Elephas maximus indicus: one gene and its partner. The protein of the gene in region 1 purifies or fractionates together with the protein of each later gene. This does not show direct contact. Links are inferred from orthologs where the notes say so. Each region holds a gene or a part of one and is shown on either strand. Other genes may lie near its edges.

What was found.
Region 2: the proteins of ARRB2 (region 1) and MAPK1 purify together in Homo sapiens (affinity purification with western blotting; 3 studies listed by BioGRID and IntAct, with this or other methods). This does not show direct contact. The link is inferred for Elephas maximus indicus from reciprocal best matches to the Homo sapiens genes ARRB2 and MAPK1.

Annotation. Positions count from the first base shown.
Region 1 is NC_064837.1:14,365,879-14,372,944, forward strand, and holds the start of ARRB2 (beta-arrestin-2), read left to right. Parts: upstream 1-4,050; 5' UTR 4,051-4,145; coding exon 4,146-4,168; intron 4,169-7,066. UniProt on the Homo sapiens protein: Functions in regulating agonist-mediated G-protein coupled receptor (GPCR) signaling by mediating both receptor desensitization and resensitization processes.
Region 2 is NC_064840.1:20,788,743-20,796,221, reverse strand, and holds the start of MAPK1 (mitogen-activated protein kinase 1), read right to left. Parts: upstream 3,008-7,479; 5' UTR 2,775-3,007; coding exon 2,659-2,774; intron 1-2,658. UniProt on the Homo sapiens protein: Serine/threonine kinase which acts as an essential component of the MAP kinase signal transduction pathway. MAPK1/ERK2 and MAPK3/ERK1 are the 2 MAPKs which play an important role in the MAPK/ERK cascade.

The DNA of each region.
Region 1 (7,066 bases):
AAGGGATGGAGTCATGTCTGGTGAATGGCACATGAAGGTGCTGCCACACACAGGCAAGGGGAGGGAGGAAGGGGCTGCAGGGAGATGCGTGCACAGTCACGGCTCCCCTGCCCCTTGCTGCGTGCGTTAAGGGAGAGAGTCACACCTGGCAAACGTGAACAGGGTGATGCCACCTTGAGTCAGGTAGGGGGAGGGAGGGAGAGGCTGGGGGAGCAGGACAGGACGGGACGAGACGCACAAACCACTGGGCAGGTTAAGGGATGGAGTCGCACCTAGAGGATGCATGCACAGAAGTGCTGCCTTATGCAGATTGGGGGAAGAAAGAGGGAGAAATGGGTGAGCTCTCTCACAGTCCCGCTGCCCTCCACTGGGCCCTTGGTGGGGCGAGTAGGTGGCAGGCAGGCACACCTGCGGGGGTGCACCTAGTCTTGCTCATTGGGTAGGCAATGGGGTATAGTGGGTGGGGTTAGATAGGATGGGGGAAAGAGAGTAGGCTTGTATTGTGCTTCTCCAGTCGGGCAAGGTAGTTGGTGTTTGGGACCCTCTGCCACCTCTGATCAGGAGGATGAGTTGAGGGGGAGTGCGTTCCTCCAGCTAGGATACACGGGTGCCAGGGCACCATGTGTCTGCTGCGGCCAGCGAGTGGGACCTGTCGCCTCTCAAGTTTGAGGAAGAGGGCCGCCCAGGGACCAGTTGGGTGGGAGAGCTCCCGTGGACACTCCATGGGTCCACTGCCTTGTGTGCACCACTCACCCCTGAAGTCAAGAGCTGCCACACCTGAGTATCCCAGTTCCGGATCTGGCACTCTACCTCTCTCTGCTTCTTTCTGTGTGTGTCTATAGAGGTTCTCTGTCCCTCTTGGGAAAGTTGTGAAGTTGCCTTGCTGTTTCTTCACCCAGGGTCACTGCTGGTCTTGTCCTAAGTTAGCCAGGGTGAGTCAGGATGGCTGGCTGAGCTCCTCCGTGCCGTGTTACTCCTCTTTTGCTGCTTTTCTTATTCCTTCTAATTGGTGTTCAGTTCAGTTCTTAGACCTTTTTTGATGTTCAGGGTTCCTGGATTGTTATCTGCTCCTGTTTCACTTGTTTGTTTTAGGTCTTTGGTGCAGGGGGATGTTATGGTGAGTGACTGCACCTCCATTTTGGCTCCACCTCCTGACTTTCTTTAATACCTTTCTAAAGTTGTCTTTATTGTTGTTGTTGTTAGTTGCCATCCAGTCAGCTCCAACGTATGGCAACACCATGTACAACAGAAGGAAACACTGCCTAGCCCTGTGCCATCTTTACGATTATTGGTATGTTTGAGTCCATTGTTGTGGCCACTGTATTTCAGAAGCAGGTTGCCAGGCCTTTCTTCTGAGGCACCTCTAGGTGGATTCAAACTGCCAACATTTCGGTTAATAGCTGAACACTTAACCTTTTATGCTACCCAGGGACTCATATGGCCACTGTATTTTGAGTGCCTTCCAACCTAGAGGGCTCATCTTTTAGCACTATATTGGACAATAGTCTATTGTGATACATAGGGTTTTCTGGGCTCATTTTCAGAAATAGATTGCCAGGCCTTTCTTCCTAGTCTTAGTGTAGAAGCTCCACCGAAACCTATCCACCATGGGTGATCCTGCTGGTATTTGAAATACCAGTGGCATAGCTTCCAGCATCATAGCAATACTCAAACCATCACAATACAACGAACTGACAGATGAGTGGTGGGGCTTTATATTAGTTTAATATTTAATACAGTAGTTTTTATGTCATGCAGACCACATTACCCTTCTGTCCCAATAACACTTCAGATATATAGCATTAAGTTCCAGTCATGACCCTTTGATCAGGGTCAAATTTGGATAAAAGTGATTCATGATTCCAGAGACTATGGCCCCCAGACACCCTGCTAACTCAGAAATGAAGCCACTCCTGAAGTTTACCCTTCAGCGAAAGATTAGACAGGCCTATAAAACAAACAACAGCACACGTGAGGAACGTGCCTCTTAGTTCAATCAAGTATATGAGACCAAATGGGCAACAAGTACCCGAAAACAAAGGTGAGAAGGCAGGAAGGGACAGGAAACCTGACAAATGGACACGGAAAACCCAGGGTGGAAAGGGAAAGAGGGAGAGTGCTGACACATCGCAGGGATTGTGAACAACATCACAAAACAATTTGTGTATAAATTTTTGAATGAAAAACTAATTTGCACTGTGAAATTTCACCTAAAACACAATAAATTTTTTTAAGTGATTCATGAGTCTGAAAGATATGCATGATCTAAAGCTTGAAAGGGGTGAAGAGCAAGCTTAGAACTGAGGGGTGATGGAACTGAGTGGGAGCACTCGATGGACACAGCCTGTTTTGAACCTCAAAGACGTTATCAGAAGCTGCACTGTTGTGTGTGTTACCGTTTCTTACATGGAAAAGAGGAGGGAGAGGTGTAAAGTTAGTTCATTGGGCGGGAGGTGGTATAGGAAAGGAGCCCTGGTGTCACAAATGGTTAAGCGCTCGCCACTAACCGAAACGTTGGCAGTTCGAGCCCACCCAGCGGCTTGGTGAGAGAATGACCTGGCAATCTGCTTCCGTAAAGATTACAGCCAAGAAAACCCTATGGGGCAGTTCTGCTCTGTCACATGAGATTGCTGTGTGCCAAAATCGACTTGACGGCATTTAAAAACAATAGTATGTGAAAAAGGAGAAATACCTTACCTCCATAACCCAGAAATGTCCATAAATCCATCATCCTCCTCCAAGTTCAGGCACTTTTACCCCAGCATGACTCTTCAGTCGGGCTCCTCTTTCTCCTCCCAGCTAGCTCTTTAGTTCAAGTGTTCATCATCTCCCCTTTACTAGCTTATCTATAGATAACTCCTCTCCCTCCTCATATTCTTGCCCCACTCCCTCCACCCTCCACTTTGCCCACTATTATCTCCCTAAAAAAATAAATCTCATCATCCCTGTTTTCAAAACTGCTACTGGTTCCATGTGTCCTGAGGAACCTCCTTCCTTCACCTGCTATACAAAATTCTTCCTAACCTGTTCAGTCTTCCTCTCCAGCTTCATTTCTCCTGCCGCTAAACCCACTTAACCCCACACTTTACAATAGGATATGCTTTTTGCCCTTTGCCTTCCTCACTTTCTATCTCTTTGGAATATCCTTTCCCAGTTTCTGCCCATCCTCAAGATTGTCTCCCAACGCCCCTCCTCTGGACAGCCTGCAGTCCCTTCACCCCGTCCTGGCCAGAGGCTGTTACTTTGCATAGAATTCCCGGGATCATAATACCTGTTGATGTGTCTCTTCGACAACACTAGGAAGGCAGGGCCATGTTAATTCATGCCTGGGTCCCCACCGCCTAGTGACAGGGACTGGCACAAAGTAGGATGATGGATGGGTGGGTGGGTGAATGGAAGCTGGGATAGGGAGGTGGAAAGAGAGGGGTAACCCGAGAAATGAGGAAAAGGAAGCCCGCAAAGAGCAAAGACAGACACCAGGGGGAGCTGAGACACCACCATCAAGCCGGAGGGCGGGGCAAAAAAGGCTGCACGTTCTGGGAAGAGCGGGTAAGCAGCGCGCAGTAAGGTAAGTAACGCGCAATTGTAAGCGCGCACCCACGTGTGCACCCCCCCATGCCCCTTTCCACAGCGTGCTTCCGCGCTTTCCACCGCCCGCACCACCCACCTCGCCTCCACCGCCGCTAAGAAAGCAAACAAAGGGGAGGGGACCCCTGCAGGGTCGGGATGCCGGAAGCCAATCAGAGGGCTCTCATTTCCTGGAAGGTGGGAACCTTGGTTTAGGGAAACCCAATGAGTTTCTAAGGGAATGTGGAGGGGCGGGGAGATGGGCGGGAAGGGCGGGGTGGGCGGGGCAGGGACCGTGCCCGCCGGGGAGAGCTCCGGGGAGAGGATGAGGCGGGGGCAGACCCAATCACCGCGCATGTCTGTGAGGAGAGGGCGGGCAGCGCCGCGGAGCGCGCGATCCAGGCTGACGCATCTGGTCCGGGTTCCCGGGGGGGGGCCAAAGGAGAGGGTGGAGGAGGAGAAAGAGCGGAGGGCGCGCCTGCGCAGTGGCGCGGGGAGGAGCAGGGACCTGGCAGCGAGCGAGGAGGTTGGGAGTGAGCCGCGAACCGGGCGGGCTGCGGGCGGCGGGCGTGCGCACCATGGGGGAGAAACCCGGGACCAGGTAAGGGAGGTGGAGCCACGCGGCGGGGCATGGGCGGCGGCTCGGGGCGGGTGCCGAGATAGTCCTCAGACTAGGACACCGGGGAGAGAATCCGTGGGGCCGGGCGCCTGGGTCCCTAGGGGACAGCCATCCGGGGCCGCACGCCTAGGTCCTCCAGGATAATGGGGGCGCATGCCCGGGCCCCTGTAGGAAGTCAGGACTGAAGGGGACCAGGGAAGTGGTGTCCGGGTTCTCGCAGGCATATGGGGGCCGGACGCCTGGGTTCTCTCGTGCAGGCTGCGATGCAGGAGCGGAGGAAGGAGGAGCAGGTGGCCAACCCTGAGGGGTAGTATTTGGGAAGGCTGGACGTTGGGAGGGGTGCGCCCCAGACTCGTGCAGAGCCAATAGAAAGGCTCGTGTCCAATACCCCACAGGCAGTTGTGCTGCCCCCACCTGTCCCAAGGGCCGGGTGGCTCTGCTTCCAAACTTCTGCCTTCCCTGGGTTGCTAGGAGCAACAGCTTCATCATGGGGGAGCGGAGTGCTTGGCGACCCTCCCTGATTCTGGGCCCTATCCCTTGGCCCTCGGGTGGGGGTGGGCAGTGTCTGCCCTGGGCACGCCATCCACTCCCCGGATGTTTTCTGTGCAATCGAGGCTCTTTCTCTTTACTGACACCCCGAGTTCTCTTTTTTGATCTCTAGCAAAATCCACTTCCTGTTGTGACCCAACACCCCCAAGTAGGCAGGTGTGAATCCCAGAGTCCCTGGGGACCAGGAGCAAAAGAGGAAGGGTTGGAGCTGAATATGCCTCAGCCCAGACGGGAGCAGGAATGCAGGCCAGGTGCTACCTAACCTGTCAGCTTGTTCTGTAAAATGTTTTTCAGCCCCAGCACTCCCCACCCATTGAGTATGAGAACTCAGGTTTCTGAGTATCAAGTCCACAAGAATTGGAGAGATATGATCAGGGGGAGGGAGGACTGATGTCCTGGGTAAGGACATCCACAACCCATAGAAAGGGGAAGTTGCTGACTTGAGGCCCCCAGTTTCCGTTATGTGGTTCAAGGACGGATGGACTACAGGGGGACTGCTGACTTGGCACAATTACCCCCACCCCCAGCAAATTCTGGGCCACAGGAAGTAGAGAGAATGGCAGGAAGTGCAAGAGGCATCTGCTTCTACTGCACCCCCACCTTACTGGACACCTCCCTGGTCACCCCGCACCCACCTCCTTGGCCAGCCTCAGTATACACACACTGCTCCTCCCTAGCCTGGCAGGAGGTGGCTGGGTTAGGATCCAAAGGGCAGGTGCCCCGCAGCTACTCACAGGCGATTGCTCCAGAGCCATACTCCAGTTGGCCACTTGGTTGTGGCTGTCACAGCCCTCTGCCAGGGCTCCTCATGGGAGGAAACACTTGAACAAAAAGAACAACCAGAAGCAAGTGAGGTCAAAGTGGGGGGAGAGCCTGGATGATGCCATAGCAATCAGCCCCCAAGTTGGGACTAGAGGTAGAATGCTCGTCTTAGCTGCCACCACATCTATGCTTTGTTCTCCTGGATTGGTTGGAGGTATCTGGGGCCTCCCTGCCCTTACAGCTTGGACAACTCGGCGTTTTGGGGAAGAAGGGGCAAGTGAACTTGTTATAGCAGAAACAGACAGTGGGGTTGGAGGAAGGATGGGCCTTCTGGCAGGATTTCAGCTTCCACTATCTCAGGGCCCTTTCCAGGGATAGCTGCTGAGGCCCGGTAGATTGGAAGGAGTAAAGTGGTCAGGCAAAAAACAGGCCTACAAGTGCCAAAACCAAACTTCCCTACCCTCCCAGCAAGGGCTAGAGTCCAGGCTTGTGTTGTTTCAGCAGCTGGGGGGCAAATCCCATTCAATTCAACAAACGATTAATGCCAATTACAGAGGCAGGACGGCATAGTGGTTTACTGATTAAGAGCATGGACTTGGGGCCAGACTGCTTCAGTTTGTATTTAAGTTTCACCATTTACTCTCTGTGACTTAGGTAAAACAGTTGACTGTTCTGTACCTCAGTTTCCTCACCTGTAAAATAGCGATATTAGGATTTTCATCATTGGGTTGTTGAGAGTATTAGATGAGATAAACGCATGAAACACTTCGAGCAGCACTGGGCATGGCGCCTTCACCCAATGAGTGTTAGCGAGCATCATTATCTTCATCATCTGGCTGGCATTGTGCTGGGGATGCCTAAAAGAATAAGGCCCCTAGTGCTCACAGTTTATCCAACAAGAGACAGGTGAGACACGCTTTGTGTGCTATCTCACTGCAAGTAAAGCATGAACAGTGTGACAAGAACCAAAAAAACAGAGTGACCCAGGGTCTTGACTGGGTTGCTTCCCAAAAGAGGTGACATCTGAGCTGGGTCATGAAAGATAAATGGGCTTTTAAGCTGCTGAGATCAGAGATGGGGAAAGTTGGAGGTTAATGGAGTAGGGTCAGACTTGGGTAGTTCTTATGGTGGAAGCCATTTTACGGGCAAAGCCCAGGTCCATTGCTCTTCCAAGTTGGGGCTGTCGTTGGTGCTGGGACATCTGCCCCTTTCCCCATGAGCAGGGGGAGACTAGAAAAGATGGAAAGAGGGTTAGGTGTTACTCAAACACTGCTGCAACCTGCCCATTCAGGTCCTCTGGGAAAACCTGGGTGGTTCCTGTGGCAACCAGTAACCATTAACTGTGGGGTAAGGGGGGCTACTGAGGATGGACCAAGGATAAGAGAAGGGGGATTTGCCATGGCAACCTGCTTCATGTGGTTGCGATGCTGGAAATATTAAGGAGTTGATTACCTTTTCTTCTGGGAATAATGGGAGGCGGTGGGGCTGGGCAAAGCCCCTGGGCAGGAATCCTAGGTGAGCTCTGCTTCCTGGGCTGGGAAGGGACAAAGTCCTGGTGTGGAGGTCCCT
Region 2 (7,479 bases), on another chromosome or scaffold:
GATGCTTCCCAGTTACACAAAATTACAGTCAAACTCAGTTGGCCTTCAGAGTCCTACACAGCTTGCCACTTAAGTAGTACTTTTCCAGGATTAGATTCTGCAGCTCAAGCTGTCACTTGCTCCTATTATCTGCCTATCAAAATCACACCCACTCTTAAAGGCCCAACTCAAATCCCACTCTTCCATCTTTATATCCTCCACACAATTATTAGGAAAGGGCTCTGCACAGAACAGGCACAATGCCTAATGACCTGACTCAGGAAATGACAAAAACTGCTAAAGAATACCCAAAAATCCTTCTGGAACATTAGGTTTTTTAAAAGATCACTATTCAAATATTAACATTTCAACCAAGAAACCCTCCACAAACCCAACAGTTAATCAACATTTATTATATGCTAATAATATGCTGTGTAGAAAATCAAATTCTCACTAGTGTATTTTATCAACCTGAAGGTAAAAAGCTAAGACCCAGGATTCAAATTCTATTTATATTTGAGTTTTACTTAGGAAAGGAAAGTCACAGTAAGAGGACTTAATATTTCACTTGAATGACAACTCGGAAGGTCAAACAAGACAACAGCAGCGATAGAAATAGTTAAATCGTATTCAAACTGATAAAAATTTTATCAGGTAGAAAAATAACTTTCAACAGAAATGTAAAGATTTTCCAGTCCACATTTTAGATGAGTGAATTTTAAAAAGAAGGGCCAAAGGATGTGGTCGGCAATTCTGAGCCTCTCATGAGACACATTCACTGGCACACTTACCAGCAGGTGTTAATGGCAGCGAAATGCAGACACAGACGTAATGCTGTGGGCAGACTCCAGTACTTTATAGGGCCCTATTTTTTTTTTTATTTCTTTTAGGCCTGACCTAATTTAATTTCTTTTTTGGCTCCTAACCCCATGAATTCATGTTAACTTTCGCAGTTATATACTGTGAAGCATTTTGCTCCTGCAGAGAATGAAGATATTCAAGATTCAATAAAGTCTCTTAAGAAATAATTTTAACTAGTCTTTCTACCTAGCTAAGTAACTTCATAAAACATGGCCCCTATGTCATTTCTAAAATTATAATCATTCAAATTTGAATACATTTCAGAAATAGACTTGCTGGTAACAGTAAAACATGCTAGAATTCTGAAATTATTAATAATACTATTTAAGGAAGCAGGGTGCAATGGAAAGAGCAGCAGCATTTGAAATTGGATCTCAGACTGAATCTGAAGTCTGACACCTTACTTGTATGACCTTCGTAACTGACTTTACCTAGAAATGCATTCTCACCTGAAAGAGGGATGCAAAAAAAAAACCCCAAACCCACTGTGTGATGTCGATTTCGACTCACAGTGACCCTGTAAGGCAGTGCAGAACTGCCCCATAGGGTTCCCAAGGCTGTAATTTTTACAGAAGCAGACTGCCAGATATTTCTCCAGTGGAGTGGCTGGAGGGTTTGGTGGGTTCGAACCACCAACCTTTCTGTTAGCAGCGAAGTGCTTAATCACCACACCACCGGCGCTCCTATGAAAGACGGATACTGCTGCCTTTTCCTCCCTCTCAAGGTGGCTGTTCAAATAAAATGAGATAAAGTAATTAGCACAATACCTGCCACAAAGTGTTCAATAAATACCAGTTTGCTTTCTTCATCAAACATAAACACAGACAAGAAGATTTAGGTGTAAGGAAGGCTACACTTCTACAAGTCTTCCTCAGCACAAAACACTACAGCTAGTTCGGGCTAATAAAAACAACACAGCCTCTCATTCCACAAACGTTTCTGAGGGATCTGGATCAAGATGAAGGAGACTGACTATACGTGGTTCTACGAGAACCCCGTTAAGGCTGCATATATTTATACTGACCGCTAAAATATTGACGAGAAAAGCCCAGTCATTTTGCTAAAACAGCTCGATGCATTCGTGCAGTTAAGAGAGCGCACTTGGGGTAATGAAAAAAAAAACGTCAAATTAGGCCCAACTCCAAAAGGTTCTTTAATAGATCAAGAGGGCGAGGCTGACTTGGCCTTCGTGAAACGCTAACAGTACGATATCAAAATCCATTTTAAAACTTAGGAACTGAAATATTCCATAACCCACACTGGTGTCACTAATGCTTTTTAGAAAGCCTGCGCAGGAGAGCACCATTAAGCACCACTGAAAATATTTCATGAAGGCCGTTCGTGGAAAACTGAAGCAAGAGAAGAAAAATCATAAATTATGTTGGTTTTCTGCACACAAGCCGAGGCGAACCGCTTTCAAGGCCACCGCCACCTCCACTGACAAGCATCGGAAGGAATTCCCGGTTTTAAAATCGAACGTCAAAAAGAAGGCTACGAGGCGAGCAAACTGGGGAGGGACGGAGGGAGGGGCGACGTTTTCGTCCCTTCCCTGGGGACCGGGCTTTAAAGCCGCTGCTGCGCCGGGTCCGGGGGGCCAGGGCTCCAGGCCTCCGCCCCCCGTCTCCTCTCGGCGAGCAAAGGCCGGCCAGATAAGCGCCGTGAGCAACGCCCAGGCCCCGCCCGGGCCCAGGCCCCGGCCGGCGCGCGACCAAGCCCGGGGTCGGGGTCGCCACGGCACGAGAGGCCGAGGGCGGGCGAGGCCGCCGCTGTGTCCGCGCCGGTGGGGCGGCCGGGCCCGCGGGAGGCGCGGACACTCACCACACCATGCCGTAGGCGCCCTCGCCGATGTACGAGAGGTTGGTGTAGCGCGGCCCCACGTCGAACACCTGCCCGCGGACCATCTCCGGGCCCGCGCCCGCCGCCGCCGCCGCCATGTTGGCTGCCGGGCCGCCGCCGCCGCCGCCGCCGCCTCCGCCGCGCTGGACTCGACGCTCCGCGGCTGCCGCTCGGCTCCCGCCGCGCCTCCCGGAGGGGCCGCCTGCAGCCGGTGCAGCTGCCGCCGCTGACCGTAAAGGACGATGGAGGCCGCCGCTCAGGCGAACTGGAGAGCCGACGGCCGCTCAGACCGACTGCCTGACTGACGGGCGGGCAGGCGAGCGGGCGGAGGGCGGGGCGCGCGCCGAGGAGGGCGCCGGGGAGAGGCCAAGCAGCGTGCGCGCGGATTGGCTCCCCGCGGCCAGGGGGCGGGGCGTGCGTGGCTGGCGAAAGCGACCGGCTAGGGCGGAGCACTGCGGCGGCTGTGGAGGCGCCGCCGGCGCGGTCACGTGTGGCTGTGGGGGAGTTGCGCGCCGGAGGCGGCCCTTGAGACGCCGAAGGAGAAGGAGGCGTCGGGAGAGGTCCTACAAAACAGAGCGTGAGGAGAGACGCTAAGGAGCAGAGACAGCCCTGCAGCGGGGGTTCCTGACAGAACCAGAGAACAACCCGGGACAGCGCATGAGGCCCGACGACGCGCCACACATCGCCGGGCTTGGGACAGGCCGCGAATCTGTAGCCCACACACAAATTTAGAGGCTTCGACGCAAGGACAGAAACTGAAAGGCCTGACCGAGATGGAAAGAGACATTTACATACTGAGAAAGTGTAAAACAAATGTGAGACCAAAACGACAGACTCTGAGAGGATCTGCGAGTCAGACAGAGGTTCCTTCAATAAATATTTGTTGAACACCTACCATGCTCCTGGGGATCCGGCACTGAAAAAAAAAAAGTATACCCTCATAGAGGTTATATTCTAGACTGAAGAGGCATGCAAATATATGTAATATGCACATTGGGATAAGTACTATGGAGAAATATAAAACAGAGTAAGGGCTTAGGGAGTAGTGGGGTTGAGACATCAGAGAAAGACACTGGGCCTCTAGAGACTGAGACCCGGATTGGTAGACGGACACCCAGAAATATACATCCAACGATGGAAATGCTAAAAACAAAACATGAAGACTTAGAGAAAATGAGACGGACACACTGAGGCTCAAAGATAGTCACAAACACCAGCGATTGGAAAATAAAAATTGGAATCCTGAAGCAGGTAGAAGCCAAGAATAGCTAAGACAGTGAGAAGATAATCCATTGCTTCTGAATCACTTCCCAAGCCAACATGCAATCCAAGAGCCACCAACTGTGGACTTCCACACATCAGCAAAGATCAACTGGTCAATCTCAAAATTTGAATAAACAATTTTTTTTAACTCTGTGAGAAAAGATTGTCGCAGGCAAGAAAAGGAATAAAGTGCTAAAGCCAAAAATTTCTGTTTTGAAATATATTTAGTCCATGAAACAGAACCCAATTTTAGGAAACACTTAGTTTTTTTTCTTCATTAGAAGGGGACATTCCATCTTTTGAAGAACAGGCCAAGATAAATGGAGAGTACCATGAAATCCAAACCACAATAACCAAAGTAAAAAAACACAGCCAAAGCAATGAGAAATAGACTTGACAGTGCACAAAATCAAATCAGCAAGATAGAAGATAAGCTCAAGAAAATTTTCAAAAATACAGAACACAGGAATCAAATTCTTTAAGAGGGAAAATAATGGAGGTGGAGAACATCATGGAGATTCAAACTATAGGCATCCCCCAAAAGAAGACCAAACAAATCAATTAAAGGCATTAATAAAAAAAAAAGGTAATATAAATTAATATAACTGAAAAGATCTGAGGCGGAAAGGAAGTGAGTTCACTGGGATTCAGAAAAACTAATAAGCAGAAACGAACTCTAAGACAATTTGGAAAAATTCTTAAATTTCAAGTGTAAAGAACAAACACAGCATCCAATCAAAAAACAAAGTTATAAAAAAGCTAAAAACTTTCTCTTCAGATTCCTCCTCTGCAATATTAACGCCAAAAAAAAAAAAAAAAAAGGAATAAGATTGATAGCACCCCCAAAGGGGTAAATTGTGACCCTACATACCCTCCCTGGATGATTTCTTTCACTCCTTTGCCTTAATTCCTCCCAGAATATCCCCGTTGCTCAAAATATCTGTTTTGAACTTCAGGTCATCCTGTCCACCTGCCCACTGGACAGTTTGATGTGACGCCTCACGTGGGAAAGGTGCTTCAGCTCCACATATCCAAAATGCCATTGGGTAACTGCACAAGTTGTGTACTCACACTGCCGGAGGGTTTGAATCTTGACTGCTCCACTTAGGATCTGTAGGACCTTGGCCTTAGTTTTCTCACTTAAGAGGTACCTGTACGTCACAAATTTGTTGTGCAGCATAAATAACGTATGTAAACAGCCTGGCACATGGTAAGTACCCAATAAAGGTTATCAGTCATTATTATCAACCCCACCCAAACCTGTTCCTCAGCTTGTGCCTGTGGACAAATAGCATCACCTTCCATCCAGACACTCAAGCTGGAAGTTTGGGCGTTATCTTCAACAACTCATTCTACCTTATTTCGAATACTCCCCCGCCCGCTCCCCGCCACGCCTCCATCCCACTGGTAACACACTCCCGTAAATTCTATTTCTTAAGGTTCCTTAAATCCTTGCTACTCAAAGTGTGGTCTCCAGACCAGCAACATCAGCATTATCTGGGAGCTTGTTAGAAATGCAGGATCCTAGGTCCCACCCCAGACCTACTGAATCAAGATCTGCATCTTAAGATCTCCCAGGTGATTTGTTCACATATTATTAAACTTTCTGAAGCACTGTTTTAAATGTAGCCGCCTCATCCCCACTGCCTCTATGTTGTTTAAAGCTTCATACTCTCTCTCTTCTGCTCTCTCACCTAGGCTATCGCAACCGCCTTTCAGTTCCTCTCCCAGCTTTCACGGTTGCCCATCTCCAATTGCTTCTCCTCACTTTATCTAGAAAGCTCTTTCTGTAAGAAATTTGACCAGTTACTCTCCTTCTTAGAGCAAGTCGATAGCTCCTCATTACACTCAGAGTGAGGCCTTTGCTGACCACCCTTCCAACCTAATCTCCTCTTACTCTCTGCTCTCTGCCCTCGATGCTCCTGTCAAGCTAGCTTAGTCTTAACTTCTCTCTTGCCTTTTGGTCTTTGCACATACAGATCTCTCTCCCTGTAGCATGCTCTCTCTGTACTCTTCCAGCATTTATGGACATGTTTTAAACTACCACACCATCATGGCATGATACAACTGTGATACACTAATTTTCTCCAGGTTCCATTGGCACTAAGCAACCCACAAGTGGCTTCACTTCTGCTTTTCTGACAGGGAGCATGTGCTGACCAGAGGACAGACAGCCCTGTTCAGGTCTGTGGCAGTTACTATTCATTCTAAGATGGAGTTTAGGTATACAGTTACTGAGTTATATTAGCATGACCCAGGCCCAGAGGGAACAGTGATCTAGCTACGGTGACAACAACAACAAATTTTTGAAGTGCAAAGGTGAGATCCAGGCTCTAGAACACTGTGAGACCATGCTAAGCCACCATCTAAGTATAAGGTCTAGCTTGGATGGATGGCTAGCCATCTGAATGTCTTCTTTATTATATCTCTAGAGTGGTGACAATTCACAGATCTGCAGAATCTTAAAAAACAATGGACATTTGTTATTTTTGCCTGCTCAGCATCAATTCCTCCTCCTGGCTGCAACAACCGAATTTTTCTTTGGTGAACTGACTCTTAGGCACTCTCATGTGGTTTGGAAGGCTAACACTACCCCTAAGTTCCAAGAGTAAGCGTGTGACTCATGACTCCCCAATCAGAGTCATAGACACTGGTTTAAAAGATGGGCGTGTGATCTGATCCTGGTCAATGACGCTCAACCCCAGACTTTTTGCAGAAACTAATAGGAAAGGGTCCCTTGGCTGCTAACTGAAATGCTGGAGGTTCCAATAACACCCAGTGGCACCTTAGAGGAAAGGCCTAGTGATCTACTTCCAAAAAATCAGCCATTGAAAACCTCATGAAGCATAGCTCTACTGTGATGCACAAGGGGTTGCCATGAGTTAGAATCGACTCAATAGCAACTGGTTTGGTTTTATTGGGAAACAGGTGCTCCCTTTCTGCTGGGTGCTAGGGGAGTGGTTATGAATATGGGGTCAAACATGCCATGATGTGAGAAACAACTTCTGAGAATGAAGAAGTGACAAGGAAAAGTCGAGTTGAGAGATGGAGATAAATTCCTGATGACAATTTGAGATGTTTCTTCCATTTGAAACCACAGAGTTCTGACTAATACACTATGCAGTTAAGTCCCTTTTCTGCAAAAATTGCTCAGAATTGTACAATAAGTCACTGAGACATGAATCATGAAAAGAGAGAAAGAACTGGCAATGACCCTTGAAACTATGTAAAGGTAGAGAAATAAGTAAATAAAAACACCTCTCAGCAGAGACTGAGGCTGATAAGTCCAAATAATTGTTGTTGCTATGGTAACAAACAATTTGAAAGACAGAAATTGTGAAAGGATTTTTTCTTTTTTTTAAATCGTAGGGCTTTTAACCCTAAATTATTGTCATGAAAACCAGGAAGGAAGAAAGAGGGTAGCAAAAGCAAGGTGCTCAGTCTTTGAAGACAAAAGTTATTTTTCAAAATAATATAATTTTTCAGTTAAAATTTTTAAAGCAGTCACTGTAGAATGTAAAACCAGAGATAAAAGGAAAA